7 linked regions of the Oryctolagus cuniculus genome follow. Each later gene encodes a partner of the first gene's protein in a complex. Links are inferred from orthologs where the notes say so. Each region holds a gene or a part of one and is shown in the gene's direction. Other genes may lie near its edges. The genes, in order: SNRNP200, RBMX2, SRRM2, CWC15, PRPF31, TSSC4 and SNRPF.

Region 1 (3,718 bases):
GAATTTGCATTGTACTTTTTACCTTTCTCCACCTGTAGGAGGAGAGGTCCCGGAGGGAGCGAGTGCGTCAGTCACGAATGGACACAGATCTGGAGACCATGGATCTGGACCAGGGTGGAGAGGTAGGTAGCGAGCCATTTCCCAGGCTGTGACAGTTGGAAAACTTACTTGCCAGCTCTCTGACTTCTTGATACTGCTTTTCGCATTCAAGGCACTGGCTCCACGGCAGGTTCTGGACTTGGAGGACTTGGTTTTTACCCAAGGGAGCCACTTCATGGCCAACAAACGCTGTCAGCTTCCTGACGGGTCCTTCCGTCGCCAACGTAAGGGCTATGAAGAGGTGCATGTGCCTGCCCTGAAGCCCAAGCCATTTGGCTCTGAAGAAGTGAGTGAATTGCTTTTCTCAGTTCTCTGTTCAGTTTATTTCTTTTCCTGTTTGGATTTCACCCATTGCCCAGAAGGTAGCCTGCTCTCACAGTTACTTTGCATCAAAAGTAGATGCTGCTGCAGTTTTCCCATCCTGGTTTTGAGCCCAGGGAATGATACTGACCTCTCTAAACTGGCCTTTAGTGGAGAGAGTTATGCAGGGAGGTTGCCAAGGAACGAAATCCTGGCAATGCCACAGAAACAGTTTGCTTACTCAAAGATGCTGCTAGCCTGTTGTGAATTGTATTTTTTCTTTCTAGCAACTGCTCCCCGTGGAGAAGCTGCCGAAGTATGCCCAGGCTGGATTTGAGGGCTTCAAAACGCTGAATCGGATCCAGAGTAAACTGTACCGTGCCGCCTTGGAAACAGATGAGAATCTGCTGCTGTGTGCTCCTACCGTAAGCGCTGCCCTGCCTGCTTTTCTTGTGAAGGTGGTGCTCCGTCGTTTTGGTGGCAGGAGTGTTCTTCATCTTCACCCCTGTCCTCCAGTTCTTTATTCTTGAGTGGAACAAATGTTAAATGGTGGGATAAAATGCCCAGGACATGCGGTGTCCTCTGTTTTGGAGATAAGCCCATGGAAGTTGGAGGAGTGATCGTTACCAGTAAGTAGGCCGTCTCATCCCTGACTGCTCTCTTAGGGTGCTGGGAAGACCAACGTGGCCCTGATGTGTATGCTCCGAGAGATAGGCAAACACATAAATATGGATGGCACTATCAATGTGGATGACTTCAAGATTATCTACATTGCTCCCATGCGGTCCTTGGTGCAGGAGATGGTGGGCAGTTTTGGAAAGGTAAGGGGGTAGAGCTTCCTCTGGTGAGTACTGGGTGCAGCTGTCAGGATTGTGAATAGTCCTGTACATCACTGCTTCTTGTGTTAGGGCATCCCTGGAATGCCTCCTGTGGTGTTTTACATTTCAAAGGCAGAGAGGTTTCTGAAGCAAGAATGTCCTAAACCATCTTTTACTAGGGTTTATTTGCCATTTTTCGTTCATGTTCTCCATGATGATTTTCTGTAGTTGTTGTCATTTGCGTCATTGAAGTGTTTATGAATTGGCACATGGATTTAGTTGACAGTAGACCTAGTGGTTTTATTCTAGGTCACATTAGCCACAAGTTTCCATTTTCTCCTTTTGTGTGCAGAACTCCCAGAGCTCCATTTCCCCCTATTGTGTGCTTCATTTGCCTGAGTGAAACTTGGGTTTGCTTTTGGAAAAGGAGTGATTGACTTGATAGTCACCTGCTCCCAGTACTCCACGCTCAGGTGTGGTGTCTAGGCCTCTTCGTGCACTCTTGCCTGACATAGGTCTCCTCCACCTAGCGCCTGGCCACTTATGGGATCACTGTTGCTGAACTCACTGGAGACCATCAGCTGTGCAAGGAAGAGATCAGTGCCACTCAGATCATCGTCTGCACCCCTGAGAAGTGGGACATCATCACCCGCAAGGGTGGGGAGCGCACCTACACTCAGCTGGTGCGGCTCATCATTCTGGTGAGTGGGGGCACTTTGGGGCTGCAGAGACCAGACGTGATCGGGGAAGGTTTGCTGGGTTTCAGTGTTGAATGTTCCTTCAATGCCTTTCTGTAGGCGATAAAGCTTTGCTGTTGGTGTTAAATGAGAATCTGCCCATAATAGGAAAATTTCCCAGTAGGTGCTTAGTGTTTGCCTTATTCTCTATATCTCCTATGTCTAAAATATTTTGAAACAAGTGCAAATAGACTGACCGCAAACTAATCCTGTCCTCCCAGAACATTGAATAAGTAATCCATTTTGCAAGGGAACAAGTAAAGAGTCCAGGATATTGTTCCAGAATCATCCAGACAGGAGGGCCTCTCAGTCTGATTGATGTTTCTTTGAGGTGTCTGGCACAGTCAGAAGTGACTTCACGTGCTGGTTTTCAGTGTGCTGGGACAGAGGTCAACGATTTGTGGCTGCTGGGTGTTGTTTTATTGGAATGTACCCATGTCTCTAGGCTTATGTATTGTTTACAGCTGCATTTTTGCTGCAGTGGCAGAGTTGAGTATTTCTAATAGGAACTGCATGGCCATCAAGTCTAGAATTTGACTTTCTGGCCTTTAAGAAAATGTTGGCAGCCCCTGCTTTAGAGCCTTGCCACTCAAATCCTGATTGACAGGGGGATAGCAGCGGGTTGGGAGAGAGGCTTGTTAGAAATGCCCTGGCCCCACCCTGCACCTTCTGGAAAAAAAATCTACATTTGAACAAGATCACTGTCTGCTTTGGCTTGCTAAAATTTGAGAAGCAGGTGATATCTTGATATCTTTTTTTCTTGGTCAAAATACCTGACCAGGGGTGAAGCCTTATTTCATATAAATATGATCTGATCAGAAGCTTCATTTTTTATGCAGAAATTTACCTTTAAGTAAAGTTAGGAACTCATTCACTGAAATACCAGATTTTCTTGCTATTAACTGTAGCAAAGCATTTCATGGGGAATGCTGTTTCATTTATGTTTCTCTGGCTTAGTTCTGCCCCCACCCTTTCTTATCTTTATTCTGAGTGTTTGGTTAGATGCCTGCAAGTCTCAGGGGAGGGGCCACATTTCCTTAGTCCTGGAGGTAATTTGCTGCCCTCCCATTCTTTAGGATGAGATCCATCTTCTTCACGATGACAGAGGCCCTGTGTTAGAGGCGTTGGTGGCCAGGGCCATCCGAAACATTGAGATGACTCAAGAGGATGTCCGACTCATTGGTCTCAGTGCCACCCTACCCAACTATGAAGACGTAGCCACTTTTCTACGTGTTGACCCTGCCAAGGGCCTCTTCTACTTTGACAACAGGTATAAGAAGATTGGGAGAACTGTGGCTAAGGTGACTTTCCTCCCATCCTTCCCTTTTCCAAGGAGCACTCACTATTGGGTTGGGTTTTAGAACGGTCTTTGGGTTTTGGAGGGGTGAATCCAGAAAAGAGGATACTGCTTCTGGGCAGTGAGAAGGAGTGTTTATTCTCAGTAGTCCCTGCCAAAAGCCTCATTTGTCTCACTGTTGAACTTTCAGCTTCCGCCCAGTGCCTCTGGAACAGACCTATGTGGGTATCACAGAGAAAAAAGCTATCAAGCGTTTCCAGATCATGAATGAAATAGTCTATGAGAAAATTATGGAGCATGCTGGGAAAAATCAGGTCTGTGCGTGGTCAATTGTATTTTTCAACACTGTTCTTTTAAACTTTTTTTTTTTTTTTTATGATTTATTTATTTGAAAGGCAGTTACAGAGAGTGGTGTGAGACAGAGAGAGATATTCAATCTGCTGATTGACTCCCTAGATGGCCACAAT
Region 2 (3,203 bases), on another chromosome or scaffold:
CGCCCTGGGGTACGCCGATGAGAACGCTAGTACAACTGTCCCGGGCCCAGCTGGCTGCCGCTGCCCTAAAGGCTGAATGGGTTACCATCTAGGCACACCTGCAGTGATTCAGACTGGTTGAGTGGGTCTGCTGTGGCGGTTTGCGCCGTAATAGAATTAGAGAGAGGGTAATAGATGGCGTTCAAACAGCTGGACAGTTTGAAATGAAGCCTGCCTTTTTGAGACGCTGCCTGTTTTTCTTAGATCAAAGGAAGAACTATCCGGGTAGATCATGTGGCTAATTATCGGGTTCCTAAAGTCTCAGAAGACATGGACGATGTGACCAGAGAGCTCCAGGCGATGGGCTGTGGTGTTAATACCCCCTCACCGAGTTCATCTGAGGATTCTGAAGAAGAGAAACCCATAAAAAAGCACAAAAAAGGTAAAACATTCAAACCCAAGAGAAACTTGGCAGTCTTAGCATCTGTTCCTCCTAGAGTTCATTGATGGTTGATAATCGGGTCATAAGTATGCGAAGGAGAGGTGGGGGGACCTTATTTTAATTGGGGAAGGGGAGGTGTCAGCAGAAGACTCCTGTTCTGGGTTGAATTGTGTTCCCCAGAATCGACACGTTGAACTCCTCACCCCTAGTCCACTGTGACTGCATCTGGACATGTGGTTTTCAGAGAGAGACTGGAGTGGGAATGGCCGTGCCCAGCAACTTGACGTTGCGGGTGACAGACATCGAAGTTGCTTCCCCGCAGCACTTTCCCAGAAGCACAGGGTGACGGCTTCACGCTGCTGCCCAGCCTATTTTCCTTGCCCATGGGCTCCCCTCCCGGCAGGCAGGCATTGGTAAACTGGTCTACCTTTGCTGGATGTCACGTACACGGAGAGGAAAGACATGGCTTTAGGGAGTTCTATTTCCCTTTTGTTACCGATTGTCGCCCTTCTTCTCCAGACAAAATGGAAAAAAAGAAAAGACGGAAAGAGAAAGAGAAAGAGAAGAGTGACCGGACAGTACTGGTCGAGCAACCATCTCCCTCTTCCTTGCCCAGAAGCAAGACAATAAAGGAAAAGGATGAGCCTGGCCCTAAGACAAGCAGCACCAAGGGCTCCGAGAAGGTGCCGAAGTCGGAGTCCAGGGAAGCACGGAAGCACTACCCTGTCTCCCCTGAGGTCAGAACTGTCCCCCGCGGTGGAGTTGAGGACCTGGCCAGGGAGCTGAAGAAGGAGAAATCCAAGCATGAGCACAGGTCCTCCGACAGGAGAGAGGCCAGAGAAGAAAGGAACAGGGATAGGGACAAAGGACGAAGCTCAGACGCGTGTTCTAGCTGGCACAATGGGCATTCGGATGGGTGGAGCCATCGGAGTAGAAGTCGGAGCCGAGATCGATCTCACAGACAGAAGAAGTCCCGTAGCTCCCGGGAGCGGGAGTCCTCAAATCTCAGTGAGCGTAGGCGTCACTGAAGCCAGTTCAGCCGCTCGGTAGATCTGGAAATGAAATGTGTTTCTAAAATGCAGTCAGATTCAGCTACGCCATTACTTCTCCATATGAAATCTCTAGAGCTGATTTTTAAAAAATCCCTTGAGTAGTGGAGTCCTTGAGAAGGCTGTGGTTTCATTGGCAGATACCCTGCATTTTCTAGTACAATCCATCATCCCTGGAAATATACTTGGAACTTAACAGAGAACGTGTCCTGAATTTTCGTTCATAAATTGGCCATGGGGCCCATAGCCCCCCCAGCTTGAGATGAAATTGCCAGAAAAGGAAAATTACAGACAATTCTAGAGGCCTAGTCTTTGTCTTCAATGTTGAGAACCCAGCATTCTAAGACTTCCAGTTAGCAGGTAGAACTGCAGTGAAGTGTGGTTTAACTAGGTTCAGACAGCTGGAGGTGAATGTGATGGGATTCTTTTTTTTTTAAGTATTAATTTTATTTATTTGAAAGGCAGTGTTACAGAGGAAGGGAGGGAGAGACACAGAGATCTTCCATCTGCTGGTTTACTCCCCAAATGGCCACAACAGCCAGGGCTGGGCCAGGCTGAAGCCAGGAGCCAGGGACTCCATCCAGGTCTCCCACATGGGTTTGGGGACCCAAGTACTCAGGCTATCTTTCACTGCTTTGCTGGGCGCATTTAGCAGAGAACTGGATCGGAAGTGAAGCAGCTGCAGCTCAAAACTGTTGCTCATCTGAGATGCCAGCATCACAGGAGCCAGCTTACCACTGCACTACAACGCCAGTGCCTGATGGGATTCTTAAGAACAACCAGCTCCCTCTCTAAACCCTGTTTGAAAACAGCTTTAAATGTCTTGTCTTTTTCTTTTTTTGGTTGAGATATTTTTCCACATACTTTTTTCCCTTGGAATTCTTTGTATTGATGTGAAATGCAGATAACATAAAGTTAACCAATTCAAAGCAATTCAGTGGCACTTATATTCACCATGTTGTGCAAACACCACCTGTGTCTAGTTTTGAAGCATTCACATTGTCCCCAAATAAAACCTAATACCTATTAAGCAATAACGTGCCATTACCCCTATCCTCCCTGTCCCTGGAAGCCACCCATCTGCTTTCTGTGTCTATGGATTTGCCTGTTTGGGATGCTCCACAGAGCAGGAATCACACAGCAGTGGCGTTTTGTGTCTGGCTTCCTTCACTAAGCATAATGTTTTCTAGGTTCATCCATGTTATAGCATGTATCAGTACTGCACTCTGTTTTAAGGCTCAATAATATCCTGTTGAGAGACCACGCTTTGTTTCTCCATTCCTTGGGACGGACGTTAGGATTGTTTCTACCTTTGGTTAGTCAGCTTCCTGTTTTGTGTGCAGACACGCCAGGCGACCTTCTGTGCTTGGTTTGCTTTTCACGTAGCCGCTCTTGCTCAGGTGGGAACACTGGTAGCTCCATCGCACACCTTTGGTCTGATTGGTAGTTCCTTCTCATTTTGAATCTTAGTTTCTATTATAGCACTCAGCCCCTTATGAATTTGGCAGGAACTGGTTCACAGGCCCTGCTGCAGTCTTTTTTTTTTTTTTTAGTTAAAAAAATTTTTAAACCTTTATTTAGCAAATATAAATTTCCAAAGTACAGCTTATGGATTAGAGTGGCTTTTTTCCCCCTATACTTCCCTCCAACCTGCAACCCTCCCATCTCCCGCTCCCTCTCCCCTTCCATTCACATCAAGATTCATTTTTCAATCTTTATATACAGAAGATTGA
Region 3 (4,431 bases), on another chromosome or scaffold:
CGCTGATTTCCCTTGCGGGCTAAGTTAAAAATTCAAAATTCCGAGCTGGCATGTGGCGCAGGCGTTGAGCTGCTGGCCGCACTGCCATCATCCCAGAGAACCAGTTCCAGTCGCACTGCTCTGCGTCCCATCCAGCTCCCTGCTGATGTGCCTGGAAAAGCAACAGAAAGTGGCCCAAGCACTCAGCCCCGGCCGCTCACGTTGGAGACCCAGAGGGAGTTCCTGGCTCCGTGCTTTGGCCTGGCCATTGCGGTCACTTGGGGATTAGGGGATGGAAGACCTCCGACTCTTCCTCTGGAACTCAAATCTTTTTTTCAAGAAAATTCCTCACACACAGAGGGGCGGCAGATGCGTAATGGCGCTTCATGCCATTAGCGGCTGGGCTTCCGGAGATGACCAGTCCAAGGTCACTGTCCCTTGGCCCGGCCAGAGGTAAACCCGAGCCCGAAAAGCCCAGCCTTACAGCTCTGCTCTGAGGGGGCTTGCCGATTCTCGGGCTCAGAAAAATGGACTTTTTTTTTTTTTTTTTTTTTTTTACTTGAAAGGCAGTTAGAGAGAACGCCAGCTTTCCGTCTGCTGGGTCACTGCCCGCGGCCCAGGCCGGAGCCAGGAGCCTCATCTGGGTCTCCAGCGTGGGTGCAGGGGCGCACCCGCCGCGGCTGCTTTCCCAGGCCCACCGGCAGGGGCTGATGGAAAGTGGAGCCGCCGGCACGGGTTACCCGCCACGCCACGACGGCCGCAAAGATGGACCTGTAAAAAGGACCCGGCAATGGCACAGTGAATGATTAAGGGCGTTTCCACGAGGTATGATACATCTGGGTTCTGTATCAAACAACCGCCTTCCTGGCTGGTGCCCTCTGGTTCCAGAAAACTCTTCCTCAGGGCACCTCAAACGCCGCAGCTGCTCACGGCGGGTGAGGGCCGCCAGAACCCAACGCGGTGGGTGTTCGGCCTTTGCTTCCCGGCCTGGACCTTGTGTCGGGCTCGGGGGCGCCAGGCGTACCCGATATCTGGGGTCTGAGCACGAAAGGCTACGTGCTGTGGGGCCGCGGGCTCGCCCGGGAGGCTACGGTCACCTGGAGGCAGCAACCCTCACAAGGCTCCCGCGCTCGGCTCCCAACCTGAGGAAACAAAATGGCGACCGCGCCCCTGGACGAAGCTACATACGGGTCCCGCCGCATGCCTGAACTACAACTTCCAGAAAGCTCTGGCCGAAGGCGGGAGGCCGAGAGGCGCTAAGACGTCGCCAGGCCTTGTGCCCCGCCCCCGCCCGGGCGGTGAGCCTCGGAGACTGTCATTTCGGTCCTGCTCCCACCCCTTACTCGCGTTGGCCGACGGGACTCGTAGTCTCCCGGCAATGAAACTGACTCTCTCTTACGCCTCTAGAAACTCTACTTCCCGAAGCGAGCCCGGCGCCTGCGCACAAGGTCGCAGAGCGTACTACGGTTCCCAGCGGGCCCTGCGGCGCGGCGGCGTGCTGACGCACTTGGTCGGTCGTGCTGACGTGCAGCGCGGCCCAGGCGGGGTGCGAGTGGCGCAGTCGGAGCCCGCTGCGGCCCCTGAGGAAGCGAGGAGGCGTCGGCGTCGGGTGAGGCGGGCGGACCGGCGAGGCGCGGCGAGGCGGCGGCTCCAGGCCCCGAGGGACTCGGGCGCTCGGGCAGCGGCAAGACCTCTCCCCCTCGGAGGCGGCGGGCGGAGGCGGCGGCGGCGGCGGGTGAGAGGGCGAGGGAGCGCGCGAGCCGGGTGGGGGAGGGGCGGCGGCCGCGGCGCGAGGCCGCGGCGCGCGGAGAACGGCCCCGGCCGCCGCACGCGCACGCGCGCGCGCGCTCGCCGCCCTCAGCTCGCGCGGACGCCCTGGCTCGCTGGGCTCCCCTCCCCCTCGCGCGGTGCCCGTCGCGCGCGGGCTCCGGCGCGCCTCTCCCCGCCCCTCCCCCATAGCAACGGCGCGCGCCGCCGCCCGCGCTCGGGTTCGCGCGCGTCCTCGGCGACCGGGGAGCGCGCGCCGCTCGGCTCCTCGGCTCCCCCCACATGGGCGGCCGAGCCGGCCTCTTGGCTGCGGCTGCCCCTTTCGGCGGCGGCGACGGGAGCCCGCTCTCGGACCGTGTCCCCTGTGGCTCGTTCCGGTCGCGCCCGGGGCCCGGTGGACCGGTGTGGAGCCTTCCAGACTGCGGGGCGCCGCGCAGCCCCCTCCCCCATCCCTCCGGGCCGAAAATAGGCCTTCCTGGCCCCGGCGGCGCGGGGAGGGCCTTGACCTCGGTGGCCCGGATTTAGAGCGTTTGGACTCGCTAGTATCAGCCCTGCGGTCGGTAGGGGAGAAAAAAGCCGCAGAGCGTGGAAAGGAAAGGGAGAAGGAAAAAAATTGAGTCTACGTGAGTAAGGTAGACAACGTGGTGGGTTGGTTTGTTTTTTTCCCTTGTGGCTTTTCCACATTTCCCCAGAAGTTGCGTTAAAACTACGGAGGCTGCTTTTGGAGCCCGTGGTTGGGAGGAAAATGCCGGACTGTTTGGAGTTGCGGCTGCGCGTTTCAGGCCCCCCCGTGGCACACGACTCTGGGCGGCCTCCGTGTCCGCCTGCTCTCGCTGTGATTGCGGCTCGCACATCCCAGCTGTCGGTTCTGTCGGCTTCGCTCTTCGGACGATGGGCTCCGTCGGCTGCCGAGCTTTCTGGGTTCCCTCGCGTGTCCCCAGGCACTGCAGTGCGCCGGCGTGGAGCTGCTTCTGCTTCTGCTTCTCTGCCGCCTCCCGCAGTTCGGTCCATTTTTTAACTGAATGTCTGAATATTGTGCGATACTCTCTGATCTCATTGTTTTGGCGTTCTGATCACTGTCCAGCACAGGTAGTTCTCTTAGTCTTCCTTGGCAAAGTAACTTTGTAAGCCCTCTGTGGACCTCATTTTAAGAATAATTATTTTATCGGTTTTAGTGGTTTGCGTTGACATGGTTCCTCCTCACTGAAGTGTCTATAGCTCTGCTTTGGATGCCGTGGAGGTTTTCTTTCTTTCTTTCTTTTTCTTTTTTTATTGTTGATTCTCTACATCTTTCGAACAATGTGACAGTATCTTTGGCTTAGCAGCTACTGGTTTTCCCTCCTTAGGGAGTGGGAGGGTTTTTGTGTGAGGTGGCAGAGAAGTGTGGGTGCTTTTCTGAGGCTGAGGAATTAGTTGCAGGTCAGAAGCATTCTGCAAGGGAAGCAAAAATTCAGTGGGCTGTGCAGGTGCAAAGAGGGGCTTTTAGAGTGGGGCGAATTGGTGCTGGAAGGTGAACGCGAGGGTTGCTTTCTTGGGCTGCAGAGAAGTAGATCACTGTTCTGTTCTGCGTGTCTCCTTGCCTTTCATAGATTGAGCCTCGTGTCATCCGTTGACTCTGGTTTTGTCATCTTTTTTTGCTTTCGGTTCGTAGGACTGCTGCCTTTGGGAAGGGACCTGGTCTGTGGCTGCGCGGTGTGCAGGCTGCTGGGCTTCCTTCCCATACAGCGTCTTGGGTTTCTGTAGGCATTTGTGTTCTGCTTCTTTATTTCAGAGTTTTCTAAATGCAGCCTTCCATGCAGTGCCTCTCATTTCCCTCCGCGTTGATTAACTTCTCCATGTTGCCTTTTTCTAGGGTTTTTCCTGAGGTTAGTTTTCCCACTATCTTGGAGAGAATGGGTTGGGGAAGCTTTGTGTTTGAGAGGTCTGCAGAAGTTCATGGAAAACATAGATGATGAAAAACTTGCATGGATTTCAATTGTTTTGCGCAAAAGTTTTCAAAAAACTACTTGAGAGACAGAGCTTCCTGACAGACAGATGTTGCATTTGCTGGTTTGTTCCCCAAAGGACAGCAACAGCTGGGGCAGGGCCAGGCCAAAGCCATGGGCATGAAACTAAATCCAAGCCTCCCGGATGGGTTTCAGGGACCCAAGTGCTTGAGCCATCACCTGCTGGCTCCAGGGTGCGCATTAGCAGGGAGCTGGAACTGGAAACAGGAATTGCTGAGACTGGAACTAGGCATTCCCATACGGGATGCAGGTGTCAAAAATATGTCCCTAAGTTTTAATTTTATTTTTTGTGAACATTTGGAAGTACCCTTGTATTGCAGGAGAAAGAATCAGAGTATGTATAGCCAAGAACTGTTAACTGGAAAAACTGGGACTTGTGGGTTCTTCAGTCGTGCTGGGGTTTAGATAAGTTGAGAGAATGGAATGTGGTGAGAGGTGTGGGGTTGTTAGCACATGAGAAGGGCTTGCGAGAGAAAACAGAAGTTCAGTACAGGAGATTGGATAGGGAAAGCCAGCAGTTGGGCTTTAATAAAAGTGAGATATGGAGCGAGAAGATTTTTTAAGTTCAGAACAAGGAATCTAGAGAAATTATGGAGACAGTAGAAATAAAAGACGCTGATGTGTTTAAATAGAGCATTGAGTTAAAGACATAACATGTAACAGGAGCTAGTGAGCCTTG
Region 4 (2,398 bases), on another chromosome or scaffold:
AGTGTGCTGGCGCCGTTAGGCGGAGGATTAGCCTGTTGAGCCGTGGCGCTGGCCACGAATTATTTTTTATAAATGAGACTTTTCTCTTATTTCTTAAAAAAAAAAAAAAAAAAAAAAAAAAAGCAAAAACCTGTTTTGGTGATGTTCTGAAAAAATACAAACGGGTTTTGTTTTGTTTTCAATCAGATAATATAAGAAAATTGATCTAGAGTTAATATAATTTGAATCTTACTCTGTCCTTAACAGGAACAAGAACAAAAAGCTGAAGAAGAGAGGATCCGAATGGAAAACATTCTGAGTGGAAATCCTCTGCTTAATCTCACTGGCCCATCCCAGCCTCAGGCCAACTTCAAAGTTAAAAGAAGGTACTATTCAGTAATGGATTGGATGGGTATACTGATTTTGAGTTGGATAACAAATTACATTGTATAAAGCTTCTAAAAACCCCATCTTCCACTGATGCTCTTCTGTCAGATTTTGGAGCCGTGGAAAGAGGAGAATGAATAACCAGCTGTGTACCAAACAATGATCCAGGCACTAGGGGTAGAGTAATGAGGTAAACCCTTGACTCCACAGAGCTTACATTTTACATTTTTGTGTCAAGGGTCTCCCAAAGACACTCAGAGGACTTGACCTGTAGTTGTATTTGTGGCTAATACAGTAAAGATACACAACAGAATCATAAGGGGAAAAGACACAGGCAGAAATGGGAGGAATCTGCTTGTTTCCTGAGACTCTGTCCCTCCCGTGAGAAGTCATACAGAGCACGTTGTTCCCTCAACAACAGAAATGCAGCAGCACATCAGTGCTTTTGCACAGGGAAGCCTAGCTGAGATTCAGTCTCTAAGATTTTTGTTGGAGTTTGTCATGTGGGGCAACTTCTGCCTTGCACCTAATAAAAAAATCCAGACTCCACAAAGGAAAGTAAATGGTCAGTATAAACTACATTATTTATACATTGTAGGTACAGTGATGGTGAGAAGATTCCTAAAACCTGGGTTTCCAAATGCCAGCCCTTTCTAAGGAGAGCAGTTCTCAGCCTGCTATCATAACTCTTTAGTGTACAGTGTGTTTGGAGGGCTGAGGTAGAGAGTTAAAGGAGAAGAGACTATAAACAAAAAGTACTATCTATGGTATTTTAGATGATATGCAGAAAAATAAAGTTTTATAGGAAGTGCTGAGTGAAGGAAGCTTAGTGATCAAGGCTCTTGGAGGCTTAACTTTTTTTTTTTTTTTTTTTTTTTTTTTGACAGGCAGAGTGGACAGTGAGAGAGAGAGACAAAGAGAAAGGTCTTCCTTTTGCCATTGGTTCACCCTCCAATGGCCGCCGCAGCCGGCGCACTGCGGCCAGCGCATCATGCTGATCCGATGGCAGGAGCCAGGTGCTTTTCCTGGTCTCCCAGGTGGGTGCAGGGCCCAAACACTTGGGCCATCCTCCGCTGCACTCCCGGGCCATAGCAGAGAGCTGGCCTGGAAGAGGGGCAACCGGGACAGAATCCGGCACCCCGACCGGGACTAGAACCCGGTGTGCCAGCGTGGCAGGTGGAGGATTAGCCTAGTGAGCCACGGCGCCGGCCTGGAGGCTTAACTTTTAAACTATATCCATTATTTCTCACCATCTCCATTGCTGCGTCTTCCATAGTGATGCAGTGCCCCTAATTGTTCTCCTGCACACTCGCCACCCTCTTCACTCCCAGATTTTTCTTGACACAGAAGCGTGATCCTTTTAAACTGAAGTTTACAGCAACAGTCTCCTCTACTAAACCTCCCATGGCTTCTTGACTCATTTGCAGTAAAAACTTGAGTCCTTACAGTGGTCTCTAAAGCTGTAAAAATCTCCCTCCATGCAGAGGCAGCAGCATAGTCAAGGAAGGATTTGCTGACAAGGTGACATTTTTATCAGAGACTGGAGTCTGAGCTATTTGACCCAAACAATTGTGAAAGGATAGAGATAGTGAAGAATGTAGACTAAGGTTGGGGTTAGGGGAGGTGGCAAACTTAGGACACAGTAAGTTTGGCAGGATACGTGCATCTCTGAGGAAATGTTAAGGAGGTAACTTAATATGATTCCAGTCCAAGCTGGGGTAATAAATTTCAGAGTTGTCTGCTTATAGGAGTTCTGACACTGCGTAAGATCACCTCAAGAAGGCCGGCGCCGCGGCTCAGTAGGCTAATCCTCCACCTTCTAGTCCCGGTCGGGGCACCGGATTCTGTCCCGGTTGCCCCTTTTCCAGGCCAGCTCTCTGCTGTGGCCAGGGAGTGCAGTGGAGGATGGCCCAAGTGCTTGGGCCCTGCACCCCATGGGAGACCAGGAGAAGCACCTGGCTCCTGCCATCGGATCAGCGTGGTGCGCCGGCCGCGGCGGCCATTGGAGGGTGAACCAACGGCAAAGGAAGAC
Region 5 (4,410 bases), on another chromosome or scaffold:
AGTGGCCGAAGTCTGTGCCGCGCCTGCGCCAGAAAGACCTGGGTTCAAATCCTGGCTCTGCCATTTATCAGCTGTGTGAGCTTGGTTGCTTAGCCTCAGCCTCACGTTTTTGCATTTCCAAACGGGGACAATGAGGATTCATCCCTAGGGAGGGTGGGCTAAGGGCAGAGGCTCACAGAGTCCCCCTGGGCCCAGCACCCATTTGCTAAGCAGATACCTCCCGCCTCTCCCCGAACCCCAACACCACTTGAAGGGCTGAACTGTGTTCCTTCCCCCTCCCCTTGAAAAGGCGTGTTGGAGGCCCAACCCCAGCACCGGGCCCCTACAGAGCAGACCAAGTTCAAAGGAGGCCCCTGTGTAAGGCCTACTCCAGCGCTGTGTGCTTCGTGAACACCGGAAAGTCCAGAGGCCGAGATCCAGGCGCGGCTTCCCAGAGCAGGAGAGGGCCAGGAACCGGGGGAGGCCCCCGGAGCCCCTGCTAAGAGGCCACAGAACAGGACCGCTCCCGCGGCGCCCCCTGACGGGCAAGACGGGGAGGAACCCAGAGACCTTGTCCCGCGGCGCCGAGCCTGGCTCCCGCTCCATCCTCCTCCGGGCCAGGGAAGCTGCAGCAGGGCTGGGGGTGGGGGGCGAGGCCCGGGCTCGGGTAGGGGAGGCGGGGGCCCGCGCTTCCACCTGGGGGTGTCAGGGAGCTCCCGGGGCAGAGTGCGTGGGCGAAGCTAGGTCGACACGCCCACGCAGGGGACGCACCCACCCACCTGCTCTATCTCCCGGCAACGCCGCCCCAGCGCCTGGTACTTCCTGCGGTTCAGCTCCCGCTGGCGCCGCCGCCGGCCCCGGGCGGCCTCCTCTTCCTCCTCCCGCTCCCGGAGCCCCGAGCCGCCCAGGCCGCCGGACACGAACTCCACTTCCGTCTCGAGCTCGCTCTCCAGAATGTGGCCGCCGAAGAGCGGAGGCAGCGCCAACTCCGAGCCCGGCGGCGCCGAGAACTCCTCAAAGCCCACGGCCGCCATGGTCCTGCAGGGTCGCGGGCGGTCGCGGACGCTCAGGGACGCCGCGCGCCCGGGCCCCAGCCCCCGCCTCCCGCAGCCGCCCGCGCGCGGTGCAGACCCGCCGCTCACCCCTCTCTCTGCTCCAGCTCCATCGCTGTCCCGCTCCGGGCGCCCCGGGCCGTCCGACTCGCGGCCGGGTCTCCAGCCTCGGGCCCAGGCTTCGCGGCGCGCCGGGGCTGCCACCCGGGCCCTCTGGGAGTGGGGCTGGGGGGTGCGGGCTCCTGTTTTCGGCCTCGTGCCCTCACCTCCCGCGCCCCGCCATCCCCACCTCCACCCTCCCGAGTCCCGGGTTTCTCGTCTGCGTGCCACCGCCTGTATTCTCCTGTCGACACTGTCGTGCAGCCACGGCGATCCTCCGCTCAGCAGGCTCCAGCTCTCCTCTCCGGGACTCACCCCGTCTCCTCCTCCGCGCGGGTGCTAATAAAGTTGTTGTTCCGAACGCGCGGCCGAGGGCCAATCAGAGCGCAGCGCCGGCGACGCGGGCGTGGGACGTCATCAGTGCGCGCCGGCCGCTCGGGGAAGCTGCTCACTTGCTGCAAACGGTCGTGGTGAGTGGGGTGCGCAGGACGGGGCGGGGGGCGGAGTGGGAGAGGGGAGAGGCGGAGGTCCTACGGCGCTCCCCGCCCGGGGTCCGGCCCTGGGGACAGCTCGGACGTTAGAGCTTGGGTTGACGGCGGGGAGGCAGGCTTAACCAGGTGGTCCCTTACGGGGTCCCCTGCATGTGAGGCGTCCGGGCCTACTCCCGTGGGGGTGGGCTGCGGGGGTCCCGGCGGTGGGAAGGTAGGGCTCGCGGAGACCTGGAGGCGAGGACAGGGTTGTCAGGCTCGCCCGGAGTTGGGTGGGGGGCTTTCATGGGTCCCGGCTGGGGCTAGCCCGGCCAGCGAAGCAGGCGGGAGTGCCTGTCCTGGGCAGCCTGCGGCGGTGGGCTCGGTGAAGAAGGGGCTGGGCCGGGGCTGGGCTGGGCGCTGGGGGCGTGGCCCCTCCCAGGAGCGGGGGCCCAGGGGGGACACAGTCCGAGGGGAAACGCCTCCCCCGCAGGTCGCGGGATGTCTCTGGCGGACGAGCTCCTGGCCGACCTCGAAGAGGCGGCAGAAGAGGAAGAGGGAGGAAGCTACGGGGAGGAGGAGGAGGAGCCGGCCATCGAGGATGTGCAGGAGGAGGCGCAGCTGGATCTCTCGGGGGACTCGGTCAAGAGCATCGCCAAGCTATGGGACAGCAAGATGGTGAGAGGAGGGAGATGCGGGCGCCCCCGGGAGCGGGGGTTGGGGCTCTGGTTCTGACTGTCCCCGGCTTCCCGCAGTTCGCGGAGATCATGATGAAGATCGAGGAGTACATCAGCAAGCAGGCGAAGGCGGCGGAAGGTGCTGCCCCCCACCCCTCCCCGCCCGGCGCGGCCCTGGCCCCTGCGTCCCGCCGACCCGCCGACAGCTGGCTCTGCCTTCAGCCCGGCCTAGCCCCCCTTTCTTCCTGAAAGCCCCCCTGCATCCCAGGGCTGGTGTTTCTGACCTCCTCGCCCTGTGCTGAGCGCCTGCTGCTTGCCGCTGGGCACACCTCAGGGCGTCCAAGCTCGCGTGGGGCGCGCACACGGCCTTTGCCACGGCCGTGAGACGCCAGCCGTAGGACCTGACATCAGGGGACTTGTCCCTTTAAGTTTCTTAGAAATCTTGACTTTCTGTTTCTATGCTTTCTATTTTTTATCCTTGTGGGTTTTTTTTTTATTATTATTATTACTAGAAAAGCAGAATTAGAGAGAGAGAGAGAGAGATGTTCTACATGGTGCCTCACTCCGGAGATGACTACAGCGGCCAGGGCTGGGAGCCAGGGACTCCGTTTGGGTCTCCCACAGGCATGGCAGGGGCCAGCTTCCACTGATTTCCCGGGCGCATTAGCAAGGAGCTGGGTCAGAAGTGGAGCAGCCGGGACTCGAACCTGTGTTCGTATGGGATGCTGGTGTTGGAGGTGGCGCTTTAACCCACTGCCACAACGCCAGCCTGTCCTTTACCTTTATCTAAGAAGGAAGCATTACTACTGTACGCTTTGGTAGATACGAGTTAGCAATAAAAGTAAATAACTTACTGTTAAATTATTATCTAAAGCCTTTTCCCGCTTCTGACATCGGGGCCCACCGGGTCAGATGTTGAATGTGCAGGTCAGCTCCTGGGAGGGCTGTCCTGTTTCTGCCCCTTGCTCTTTGTCACCCAGGGCTCTTGGTGGCGGTCACTGGCACCAGGAAGCGGGGCGGGGGGAGGTTGCTGGGCATGGGGGAGGGGAGTGGGCCGAGAGCAGAGGCTCCGAGAAACTGGTTCCCCCTTCACCTAGTGTTTCCCGGGTCCCTGCTCTTGAGATGCTCAGGGTCTGGTGCAGGAGACAGGCGGGTCCCAGGCAGTTGTCGGAGGGGCTCAGGGTGGGACTGTTCGGTCCTGCCTCGGGGGTCCTGAACCAGACTCCGGAGCCTGAGTACCTGCGCTGAGCAGAGAAGGAGCCCGGGGCTTGGGGGCCAGCCGGGCACTTCTCCCAAGCCATAGGGAGGGACACTTCCCCAGGTCAGGCCCGGCCATGCCCAGCAGGGGGGGATGTGGATGCACCGCGTCTCACAGCCTGGTGTCTGACAGGCAGCACCAGCACCGCCGGGGTGTGGGGAGACCCCTCACCAACCCCCCTCAGCCCCCGCCAGCCAGCGTCTGGGCTCAGCTTCAGGCCGTACCCTCGTCAGCCCCTCCCCCGGTCCCCGCCTCCCCAGCCGTGGGCCCCTGGGGAAGGTGCCTTCGGACTGAGCCCCGCACCCCGGCTCCTCCTCCTCAGTGATGGGACCGGTGGAGGCGGCCCCTGAGTACCGTGTCATCGTGGACGCCAACAACCTGACCGTGGAGATCGAGAACGAGCTGAGTGAGTGCCAGGCCGAGCTGGCCCTGCCTGGGACCCCGGGCCACCCTGCCCTGCTGGCCTCTCCCACACCCTGCCCGGGCCCCGTGCATGAGAGCGGGCACGGCGGGGGGCGGGGGGACAGCGCTGAAGCGGCGTGGCTCACGTAGGGAGAGGAGCTTTTCCTCTCAGGGAGCCACGCCGTGGTGCCCGGGCTCTTGCTGTCATGTGGATCTGCCGCTGGCTCGTGGGACAAGGCGACCGCCCCACTTCCGGCCAGCGCCTTCACGTCCCACCAGCAAGGCCAGGAGGCAAGGAGGGGCATGAGCTGCCGTCCTCGCTCAGCCGGCAGCCGGGACAGGCTCTGCCGAGACGCCGGCATCTGAGGGCAGTGCAGAGGAAGGGGGAGGCGGGGCCTGGGGAGAACCAGGGGACTCTGCCTCCGCCCTCCTCAGCCGCCTGCGCTGCCGCCCCCCGCAGACATCATCCACAAGTT
Region 6 (4,233 bases), on another chromosome or scaffold:
TAGCTGGGCCCTCCCCTGCGTGGGCAGAGGCCGCCTAGCTGGGCCCTCGGGTGGGAGCTGAGGTCGCCTCCCCCGCGTGGGCAGAGGCCGCCTAGCTGGGCCCTCCGGGGTGCCGCCAGGGCAGGTGGGAGCTGAGGTTGCCCTCCCCGCAGGAGGACTGCCACCAGAAGATTGACGAGCTGTTCTCGGGGAAGCTGTACCTCATCGGCATCGCGGCCATCGTGGTGGCCGTGATCATGGTGAGCGGGCAGGCGGGCGGGGGGGGGGGGGCCGCCCCGCCCCGCCGGCCCCCGCTGACCGCCCCCCTCCCGCCAGATCTTCGAGATGATTCTGAGCATGGTGCTGTGCTGCGGCATCAGGAACAGCTCCGTGTACTGAGGCCGCGCTGCCCCCGCCGCCCCCGCCGCCTGTACAGAGCCACCCCGCTCGCTCCGCACGCAGCTGCCGGCTCTCCGGGCTCTGCGTCTCCCCCGGAGCCCCTGTGGCTGACGCCGCGTGCCAGGGGCACCTGCCGAGGGGGGCCGGGCCTTCTTAATCCTGTTGCTTTCCTGCCTGTTCCGGGAGCACCTGTCCTTTCTAACGTCACCTTCAACTGTAACGCCCGCAGCTGGACACAGTCTGTAATAAAGGAGGAGACATCGGGCATGCTAACGCGCTGGCCGCCGGTCCTGGCCGGTGGGGTCTCAGTGGGTGGGGCGCTGGGGACAGAGGGGTCTGGACTGTGCCGAGCCCGCGCGGAGCGGACGGGACCAGGACCCAGGGAGCGTTCCGCGGGTGACCGCCCCTGGGGCACACCGGGCTGCGGGAGGGGGCGGCCGGGCTCCGGGCTCCCTGCGGGCAGCAGGCCCCAGGTCTGCTGAGACGTGGGTGGCCCCCCGGGCCTCAGCAGCATCTCGGAGCAGCCAGAGCAAAGGCCCCGCCTCGGCCTGGACAGCAGCCAGGGAGGACTGAGGCTGGCCCTGCGGAGGGCGGGGGCTCCTGCTGCTCCCAGCCCCTGGGGGACAGGGTTGCCTGGGAGAACTAGGTGCAGCGAGGAGTCCCCTCCACTCCCCCCGGGCCGTGCTGGCCCAGGCTGGCCTCTGGACGTGCAGGGCCTGGGGCCCCGGGGCTGCCAGGACAGGGTGGGTGTCCCAGAGGTGCCTGGGCCGTGCATGACCCGCCTGCTGTCCGCGGCTGGCCCCCCCGGGGTCCTTAGACGCCGGTCTCCCCGTGAGTGCCAGGACAGCAGGCCCCCGCAGGAGAGGGACTCAGGAGCTGGGGTCTGGCGGGCACCGAGCAGCCCCAGCAGAAACGGGGGCAAAAGGCGCTGCCCACTTGGGGCCTGGTGGCCAGCGAGAGGCCTGTCTGGGAGAGCCCGGGGCCGGACCTGCCCAGGATGGCCACGCCCAGCCCCGGCTGCCTGGGCCGCTGGGCAGCGCTCCGCGCGCCTGTCCCTGAGGGCCGGGGAACCGGAGAAACATCGTCAGAGGCTCCCGACGTCCAGCGCAGCCCACAAGCTCAGTGGCTGCCAGGCCCGCCCCGGGCATTGACGGATGGACCCGGGAAGGGGCAGCGACTTCCGCTTTCGGAAGGCCGGAAGTGCGGGCAAGGGCTTCTGCTCCACCGTGCGCGATGACGCACTTCCTGTCTACGTCGGCTGCTGTCTCCGCACCTCCCGGTAGGTGGCACTAAAACTCCGAGAGGCCTGCGCCTCGCCGTTAGTCGAGCATTCTGGGAGTGGCGGTTGGCTCCGCCCCTTCCTCCGTGTCAACGCTAGGCCTTTTCCGTTTCCGGAACCCGCTCCTGGCGCAGGGCTTGGAGGTGTAAGGAGAAGGGCGTGGGCGCATGCGCACTGGGGCACACGTCCCGTCAGGGCTCGGGAGCTGAGGCCCGGTGGCTTATGGGAGATGTAGTTCTTCGGTCGCGGAGGCCACAGTGCGCGGCTAGCGGGGGACTCGGTTTCCCAAAAGGCTGAGCGCGGCCGGCGGGGAACCCGAATGAAGGCGGCCGGCACGAGGAGCCGGTAAGTCCGGGAGGGCCCTCTGCGCGGCCGCCCTGACACGGCGAAGGTGTGCTCTGCTCCGCGGCAGAGGCGGCCGGAGGCAGCTAGAGCCGCTGCCCCTCGGCCCGGTCGCGGGATCCCGGCCTCCCCAGCCCAGGGCGCGCTCGCCGCGGTCCCTGCTGGGCCCAGCGCTCCTCCTGCGGCTGCTCCGCGGGAGGAGGTGCTGCGCCGCGCCTGGGTCGGCCCGAGGCGGGGAGCGCCGTGTGGAGGGTGCGCCCGGGCTGTCCTGCAGCCAGCCCCTCGGGAGCGCGGGTGGGGGTCGTGTCCGGGGCCGCGGGGGCGGCCTCTGCCCAGCAAGGCCGCTCGAGCTGACCCTTGAGCGCGCTCGCGAGCCCGACCCCGCCGGGGTGGCCGCGGCCCGGGCCCTGGGGCCCAGCCCTGGGCTCCGCCTCGTCCCAGGCAGCTTGCGGCCGGCCCCGCGCTCTGACGCGGGCTCTGTCCCCCGCCCCTCACCCAGCCCCGTCTGAGCAGCGGAGCCGAGGCCACCGAGGAGCCCACGCCGGGGCCACCGAGGACCTCCGTGGGCGGACGGGGGAGGTGAGAGCCGGGCCGGGGAGGGGCCCGCTGCTGCGGCCGCGTGGGCCGGCGACCCTGAGCTGCCCCCTCCCCGCGGGCTGCTTCCCCGCAGGTGCCGTGGGACGGGGCCATGGCCCAGGCGGGGGCCGAGGGGGACGCCGCGCCCCCCGACGACGCCGACTTCCCCAGCGACTCGGGCTCGGACTCGGACTCGGACCTCAGCTCTGGCGGTGCCGAGGCGGCCGCGCCGTGTGTAGACCTGCCCGCGGACTCAGAGGACTCCGAGCCCCCCTCGCCGCCCCCGGCGCCCCCCGCCCCTGCGGCCCAGCCGTTCTGCCTCCGGGGCACGAGCTCCGCCTTCTCCCGGCGCAGCCACAGCGTCTTTGACGGCCTGGAGGGGGCGGCCGGCGCCCCCAGGGGCCCGCGTGTCCCCGACTACGTGGCGCACCCGGAGCGCTGGACCAGGTACAGCCTCGAGGACGTGGCCGAGGCCAGCGAGCAGAGCAACCGGGCGGCGGCGCTGGCCTTCCTGGGCGCGCGGGGCCCGGCCGCCCCCGCCGCCTGCGCGCCCGCCTTCAACCAGGACTCCTCCAGCTGCGGGGAGGGCAGGGTGGTCTTCACCAGACCGGCCCGAGCCCGCGAGCCCAGGCCCGAGAGGAAGAGGGGCCTGGGGCAGGGCGCGCAGCCGGGCAGGGGCCTCCCGGGGACCGAGGCGGTGGAGCTGCCCCACCTGGCCGGGCCCGGGAGCCCAGAGGCCGAGGAGAGGGGCGGCACCCCCGGCGGCCTGCAGGAGGAAGACGCGTCCCCCGCGGCTGCCCACAGAGGGGCCTCGCCAGGGCCCCCCGGCCTGGACGCCGTCGGCTTCCACGGCGCCAGGAAGCGGAGCCGGGAGCACTTCCGGAACAGGGGCAGCGGCTGCGAGGGCCCAGCGGCTGAGGGGTGAGCGGGCCGGGCCGCGGCCGGGGGCCCGGGGCTCCATGGGTGACAATAAAGGTGTTGGGTGTCCTCGGGTCCTGTCTGTCGTCTCACTCCCCCTGGGCCCCCAGCCCCGCTCGGACCCTGCAGAGTGACGGCCCCAGTGTTCCGCTTCTCTGGGTTTTTGTTTGCTTTTAATTTTGAAAGATAGAGAGGTCTTGCGTGCACTGGTCCACTCCCCAGAGAGCCGCAGTGGCACAGGGGCCGTCTGCTGCTCTCCCAGCTGCAGCGGCAGGGAGTTGGGTCAGAGTGGAGCAGCCGGGACTGGAACCACACATACAGGAGGCGGCTTTACCTGCTGCGCACAGTGCCGGCCTGGAGGGGCTGAGGGGTCCCCCTGGGCTGGGGTCAGGCCACAGGAGTCCAGCATGGTGCCGGACAGGCCTGAGTGGTCCTGTAGCCGTGCCCACGCTCGCCTCTGGCTGTGCCCCACCCAGACTGTCAGGACGGGGTGCAGAGCCGGCATCTGGGGTCTTGTGCCAGGACTCCAGCCCAGCATGGGCCATGGGGGACAAAGGGTGGGTTCCCCAGGTCTGCTGGGGGAGGCCCACGGAGCGAGCATGTCTGTCCCCCACTCCCTTGACCCTTGAGGGCTCGGCCTGGTTGTGACTCAGCTCAGTGGGTGGTGTGGGTAGCCCAGGAGCCAAGGCCTGCCCCCGTGTGGACACTGTGGTTTGACCTGGGTTGGAGGGGATGTGGGC
Region 7 (4,165 bases), on another chromosome or scaffold:
AGTTCTCTGCCAAGTCTGTTTTTCTCATCTCAGCTGTAACTTCAGATCACACTGTGTGATTTCTATAATAATTGGGAAAGAGCCGGACATAAAGTTAGGAACTAAAGATTATAGCAAAGTTAAAGATGCAGGGGTGTAACATCTGGCATAGCGCCTAAGACGCCCACATCCCAGATGGGAGTGTCTGGCTTGGAGTCCCCGCTGGGTTTCTGACCCAGCTTCCTGCTAATGCACCCTGGGAGGCAGCAGGTGATGGCTCAAGTAGTTTGGGTCCCTTCCACTCACTTGGGAGTTCCCAGCCCCCGGCTTCAGCCTGGCTTGTTGCGGGTGTTTGGGGAGTTGAGCCAGTAGGTCCAAGAGCGTGTACGCTCTCTGTCTCGCTCTCGCTCTCTCATAAAGAAAATTAAGAATTTTTTTTCTTAAAAGCTGAAGATCCACGACACGATGACTAACCAGAAAAAACCCAGTGCACTTTGGGGTAAATAATTCTAACAGCTATTCGGTCTACACCACACTGATGATCACCCTGACTTGCTGCTCATCATTTAAACCGACAACACGTAAGTCACAGCGAGCATCTCCTGAAAGCTCAAGTCCAAACGCATCTTCTGGGGGGTGTCCAGCAGCAGGCGGTCCTCCTCCAAGCGCCAGTTCTCCGAGATCTGCATTCAGCACCTCCCATCCGGGCTAGTCCAGCGTCGGTCGCGCGGAGAGGGGCTGGCGGCTGCGTCGCGGGCACCGATCAGCCCGTGCTGCCGCAGGTGCTCCCCAGGCCGGCGGGGCCGGGGGCCCGCGGGCAACGCCCCGGGGGAGGTCCTGGCTCCTAGTCTGCAAAGAATTCTGCCGCGGCCCCTCCGTTTCACCTCCCCGCCTCCAGGCCCGCTCCTCTCATTTCCTCTTAGAACGCTGAAACGGGTGCTACCGAATAGACAACCTTCAGGTCGAAGGGGGCTGTGGCAGAGGCGCCCCCAAATCGCGGTACCCGGGGACCTGAGAGCCCCGAACGCGTTCTCACCGTTGTAAACTAACAAAGCGACCCCCCATTAGCCAAGCTGCCGAGAAATCACGTGTGCGCCACAGGGTACGCGGCCTCTCACAGCCGGTTCTTCAAGGCAGGGGAGAAGACTAGTAACGCCGAACGCGTCTCTGGTTGCTGGGAGACACGGCTGCGCCATCTCCTCCAATCAGCACACGCCTCTTTTTGACCAATCATAGAAGGCGAAAGAGCGGTGGTGGGAGGTGAAAGGTCAAGCTGAGGTTTGGCGGCCATTTCTCTTGCAACTTCGGAGGTCTGGGCCTTGGGGGAAGCTGCTCCGAGCACGCGGGACGGGCTGTATCTGCGTCGGCGGCGTCTAATCCGCAACGTTAGCCCGAAGTCGTGATGGTAAGGAGAGGGAGGACTGCTGGAGTCGCGAGACGGAGAGGGCGGGAAGGCAACTTCGGGCTGGCTGAGCCTGGTGGCGGCTTCGCGCCTTTCCCATTCATCCGCGAGGCGCAGCGCACCGGGGCGCCAGTCTGCGGGTTCCGCGGACGCGCGCGAGTCCCTTCCTGGCTGGGACGACCCTCGCCTCCTGCTGCCTCTTCTTTCTGAGTCCAGGGAAGAAAGAGGTAGTCGGGGTGGATGTAGCAAACGCTGAAGCGGTTTGCGTTTCCCACTTCGTCGCACTCATGAAGCCGCTTTTATTCCGTCGGTGATGTTTCTCCAGCCCGCCTTGGCCCAGGCCCCGGAGCGTTCGTGTATTCGTTCTGACGCTTATTGAGCGCCGGCGACTTGGCCAGGTTGAGTCTTGGGCTCCAGGACTAGAGACTGAGAAGTGCCCATGCGGACCCTGCACCGGCCGAGCTGGGCGGGGTGTGAGAGACAGACGTCCGTCAGGCGCTGTTCACCGAAATGGGCACCGGCCTAGACGGGAGCGGGCGGGAGGCTGCGGCCCCGGGGCGCTGGGGCGCCTTCCGCGGCTGCCCCCGGAGGGGGGCTTTCACCCGAGCCCGGGTGACAGGAAATGGGGCTCCGGAACGATGAGGGAGGGACAGCTACACTCGTGGTGGGTGTTGGCCGAAAGCGGCCACCGCTTGCGAGAGCGCCAGGACCTGGGCAGCGTGTGGAGGGTCTACCCCGGCGCCCTCGGCAGCCGTCGGAGCTTTCTCATCAGGCCCGATGGGATGCGCTCTGGCACACGTCGTAGCGGCTGTGTGCTCGCTGCGCCCGAGAAGTGGGGAGCTGGGGGCCGTTAGGCGGTTATTGCGGGTGGAGCCCTCCTACTTTTCCCGCGATTTAGTAGCGGTGTCTGGGTTCTTCCTCGGGGTGAGGAGGTGAGCGCGGAGAGACTCGGTTCGCCGGCGATGCACCGGTCGGGTGAGGACCGAGCCCTGCCGAGCTTGGTCCTGCCCCGAGTGGGATGCTGACCGTACTGCTTGTTCTCGGGATGACGCGCGCAAGCGCACACATACACACGGTCATTCCAGATGGGAAGCCTCCCTGGCCTCCAGCGGTCCCCTTTCCCTCTGGAATAGACTTCACCCTTTAAAACGGAGGCATTGCTCCTACCAGGCAGCCCGTTCCTGTCTTTTTTCCTGAGTTGGTTGGGCCTTTCTGCATAGCATCGCTCTTACTGCTTTGCAATATAATTGTCTGTATGTCTGCAGCGCCACACCCCCACCCTGGCTTCTTAAGGACAGAGCCTCGTTACACGTTTGTTGTAGGGCTTTCATCTTTGTTTCCTTAGAGCTTGCGACACTGAGGACTGCAGGTGCCGCTTGTCTCCTAAGTGCAGCGTGAACACTTATTTTTTTGTGATGGGTTGAAGACGAAATGGGATAACTGGTTAAATTTCCCAGATGCTAGCCGGCGCCGTGGCTCACTAGGCTAATCCTCCACCTTGCGGCGCTGGCACACCGGGTTCTAGTCCCGGTTGGGGCGCCGGATTCTGTCCCGGTTGCCCCTCTTCCAGGCCAGCTCTCTGCTGTGGCCCGGGAGTGCAGTGGAGGATGGCCCAAGTGCTTGGGCCCTGCACCCCATGGGAGACCAGGAAAAGCACCTGGATCCTGGCTCCTGCCATCAGATCGGTGCGCCGGCTGCAGCGGCGGCCATTGGAGGGTGAACCAACGGCAAAGGAAGACCTTTCTCTCTCTGTCTCTCTCTCACTGTCCACTCTGCCTGTCAAAAAAAAAAAAAAAATTTCCCAGATGCTCTTCAACAAACAAAAGTGGAAATTAGGTAGTAGAGTGATAGGGAGTGAAGAGTTTGCTTCATTTGGATGTTACAAAATATTGATTGGTGGATTGGTAGAGGAGAGTGAGGAGTGGAAGCCAAGTTAAGGAAAAAAAAAAATCAATGGATTTTTTGTTTGTTTGTTTTGTGCAGAGTTTACCCCTCAATCCCAAACCTTTCCTCAATGGATTAACAGGGAAGCCCGTGATGGTGAAACTCAAGTGGGGAATGGAGTACAAGGGCTACCTGGTGTCTGTAGACGGCTATATGAACATGCAGGTAAGCTAGAGGTGAAAGGGTGGTGACACTGTGTTTCTTCTGTTCCACTTTATTCCTCCAAGGTTTCGTGTGACTAATAATTCATACAGTTGGCAAAGATAGAACAAAATTCAGGAATGAAGTCAAGGCCAGGGAGGATGTTACAACTGATAGACTAGGTACAAGACACGGGGTTAGGCCAGGATTCACAGACCTTACTCGTGGTGGGTAAAGTGAGGAGGACTCAGGCATTTGATTATTCATATAATAAGGGAAATACATGAGTTGCTTTCAAAAGCAAACCTTTTTCCAGCGCTTAAATCTGATATTTTTCAAGTGAAATTCTTGTCTCTTAATGAATGCTAAAGGCACAACATTAATGTAATCAACTAGAAGCATTTCTTCAGAGGGAAGACAGATTAGCTGAAAGAATTGATGAACTATGTTGGTTAAACTAGTTGTAAATGATTTTGCCAGTGAGGGGGGGGATTTGGTGTGAATTTTTTTATTGTGATAAAATATACATAAAAATTTGGCCACTTTAACCATTTTTAAAGATGTCACTCAGTAATAGTATGTGAGAACATTGTTTTGCAGCTACCACTAGTACCCAATTTCAGAACTTTTTCATTATCCTAAAGTGGAACTCTGTACCCATTAAGCAGTAACACCCCCGTACCCCAGATTCTAGCTGTT

What was found.
Region 2: SNRNP200 (region 1) and RBMX2 share a complex: the UniProt entries of both Homo sapiens proteins name them as parts of the minor spliceosome. The link is inferred for Oryctolagus cuniculus from reciprocal best matches to the Homo sapiens genes SNRNP200 and RBMX2.
Region 3: SNRNP200 (region 1) and SRRM2 share a complex: the UniProt entries of both Homo sapiens proteins name them as parts of the minor spliceosome. The link is inferred for Oryctolagus cuniculus from reciprocal best matches to the Homo sapiens genes SNRNP200 and SRRM2.
Region 4: SNRNP200 (region 1) and CWC15 share a complex: the UniProt entries of both Homo sapiens proteins name them as parts of the minor spliceosome. The link is inferred for Oryctolagus cuniculus from reciprocal best matches to the Homo sapiens genes SNRNP200 and CWC15.
Region 5: SNRNP200 (region 1) and PRPF31 share a complex: the UniProt entries of both Homo sapiens proteins name them as parts of the U4/U6-U5 tri-snRNP complex. The link is inferred for Oryctolagus cuniculus from reciprocal best matches to the Homo sapiens genes SNRNP200 and PRPF31.
Region 6: the proteins of SNRNP200 (region 1) and TSSC4 are in contact, whole or in part, in a cryo-EM structure (PDB 7PX3), measured with the Homo sapiens proteins. The link is inferred for Oryctolagus cuniculus from reciprocal best matches to the Homo sapiens genes SNRNP200 and TSSC4. Residues at the interface, in NP_054733.2 of Homo sapiens: Arg1438, Arg1475, His1502, Lys1748, Gln1749, Val1752, Asp1753, Thr1756, Trp1757, Tyr1761, Arg1762, His1778, Leu1781, Ser1782, Asp1783, Leu1785, Ser1786, Glu1787, Val1789, Glu1790, Gln1791, Glu1807, Met1808, Asn1814, Met1817, Ile1818, Tyr1821, Tyr1822, Asp1928, Ser1931; in NP_001284587.1 of Homo sapiens: Val198, Ser199, Ser200, Phe201, Asn202, Gln203, Asp204, Pro205, Gly211, Arg212, Val213, Ile214, Phe215, Thr216, Lys217, Pro218, Arg220, Gly253, Pro254, Val255, Glu256, Leu257, Ala258, His259, Leu260, Ala261, Gly262, Gly303, Phe304, His305.
Region 7: SNRNP200 (region 1) and SNRPF share a complex: the UniProt entries of both Homo sapiens proteins name them as parts of the U4/U6-U5 tri-snRNP complex. The link is inferred for Oryctolagus cuniculus from reciprocal best matches to the Homo sapiens genes SNRNP200 and SNRPF.

The regions. Positions count from the first base shown.
Region 1 is NC_091433.1:111,286,409-111,290,126, forward strand, and holds part of SNRNP200 (U5 small nuclear ribonucleoprotein 200 kDa helicase), read left to right. Parts: intron 1-38; coding exon 39-122; intron 123-211; coding exon 212-385; intron 386-686; coding exon 687-824; intron 825-1,064; coding exon 1,065-1,220; intron 1,221-1,747; coding exon 1,748-1,918; intron 1,919-3,030; coding exon 3,031-3,224; intron 3,225-3,441; coding exon 3,442-3,565; intron 3,566-3,718. UniProt on the Homo sapiens protein: Catalyzes the ATP-dependent unwinding of U4/U6 RNA duplices, an essential step in the assembly of a catalytically active spliceosome. Plays a role in pre-mRNA splicing as a core component of precatalytic, catalytic and postcatalytic spliceosomal complexes.
Region 2 is NC_091453.1:108,064,813-108,068,015, forward strand, and holds the end of RBMX2 (RNA-binding motif protein, X-linked 2), read left to right. Parts: intron 1-243; coding exon 244-421; intron 422-940; coding exon 941-1,449; 3' UTR 1,450-2,504; downstream 2,505-3,203. UniProt on the Homo sapiens protein: Involved in pre-mRNA splicing as component of the activated spliceosome. As a component of the minor spliceosome, involved in the splicing of U12-type introns in pre-mRNAs.
Region 3 is NC_091450.1:32,566,518-32,570,948, reverse strand, and holds the start of SRRM2 (serine/arginine repetitive matrix protein 2), read left to right. Parts: upstream 1-1,496; 5' UTR 1,497-1,714; intron 1,715-1,970; exon of another isoform or gene 1,971-2,378; intron 2,379-4,431. UniProt on the Homo sapiens protein: Required for pre-mRNA splicing as component of the spliceosome. As a component of the minor spliceosome, involved in the splicing of U12-type introns in pre-mRNAs.
Region 4 is NC_091432.1:86,193,364-86,195,761, reverse strand, and holds part of CWC15 (spliceosome-associated protein CWC15 homolog), read left to right. Parts: intron 1-246; coding exon 247-365; intron 366-2,398. UniProt on the Homo sapiens protein: Involved in pre-mRNA splicing as component of the spliceosome. Component of the PRP19-CDC5L complex that forms an integral part of the spliceosome and is required for activating pre-mRNA splicing.
Region 5 is NC_091449.1:4,564,755-4,569,164, reverse strand, and holds the start of PRPF31 (U4/U6 small nuclear ribonucleoprotein Prp31), read left to right. Parts: upstream 1-1,469; 5' UTR 1,470-1,600; exon of another isoform or gene 1,601-1,832; intron 1,833-2,090; 5' UTR 2,091-2,098; coding exon 2,099-2,275; intron 2,276-2,352; coding exon 2,353-2,413; intron 2,414-3,854; coding exon 3,855-3,938; intron 3,939-4,394; coding exon 4,395-4,410. UniProt on the Homo sapiens protein: Involved in pre-mRNA splicing as component of the spliceosome. Required for the assembly of the U4/U5/U6 tri-snRNP complex, one of the building blocks of the spliceosome.
Region 6 is NC_091432.1:1,158,851-1,163,083, reverse strand, and holds TSSC4 (U5 small nuclear ribonucleoprotein TSSC4), read left to right. Parts: upstream 1-1,525; 5' UTR 1,526-1,611; coding exon 1,612-1,657; exon of another isoform or gene 1,658-2,498; coding exon 2,499-2,578; exon of another isoform or gene 2,579-2,669; coding exon 2,670-3,500; 3' UTR 3,501-3,567; downstream 3,568-4,233. Other genes in the region: CD81 antigen, read left to right, coding at 153-239, 316-378. UniProt on the Homo sapiens protein: Protein associated with the U5 snRNP, during its maturation and its post-splicing recycling and which is required for spliceosomal tri-snRNP complex assembly in the nucleus.
Region 7 is NC_091442.1:98,723,881-98,728,045, forward strand, and holds the start of SNRPF (small nuclear ribonucleoprotein F), read left to right. Parts: upstream 1-1,244; 5' UTR 1,245-1,381; coding exon 1,382-1,384; intron 1,385-3,364; coding exon 3,365-3,490; intron 3,491-4,165. UniProt on the Homo sapiens protein: Plays a role in pre-mRNA splicing as a core component of the spliceosomal U1, U2, U4 and U5 small nuclear ribonucleoproteins (snRNPs), the building blocks of the spliceosome.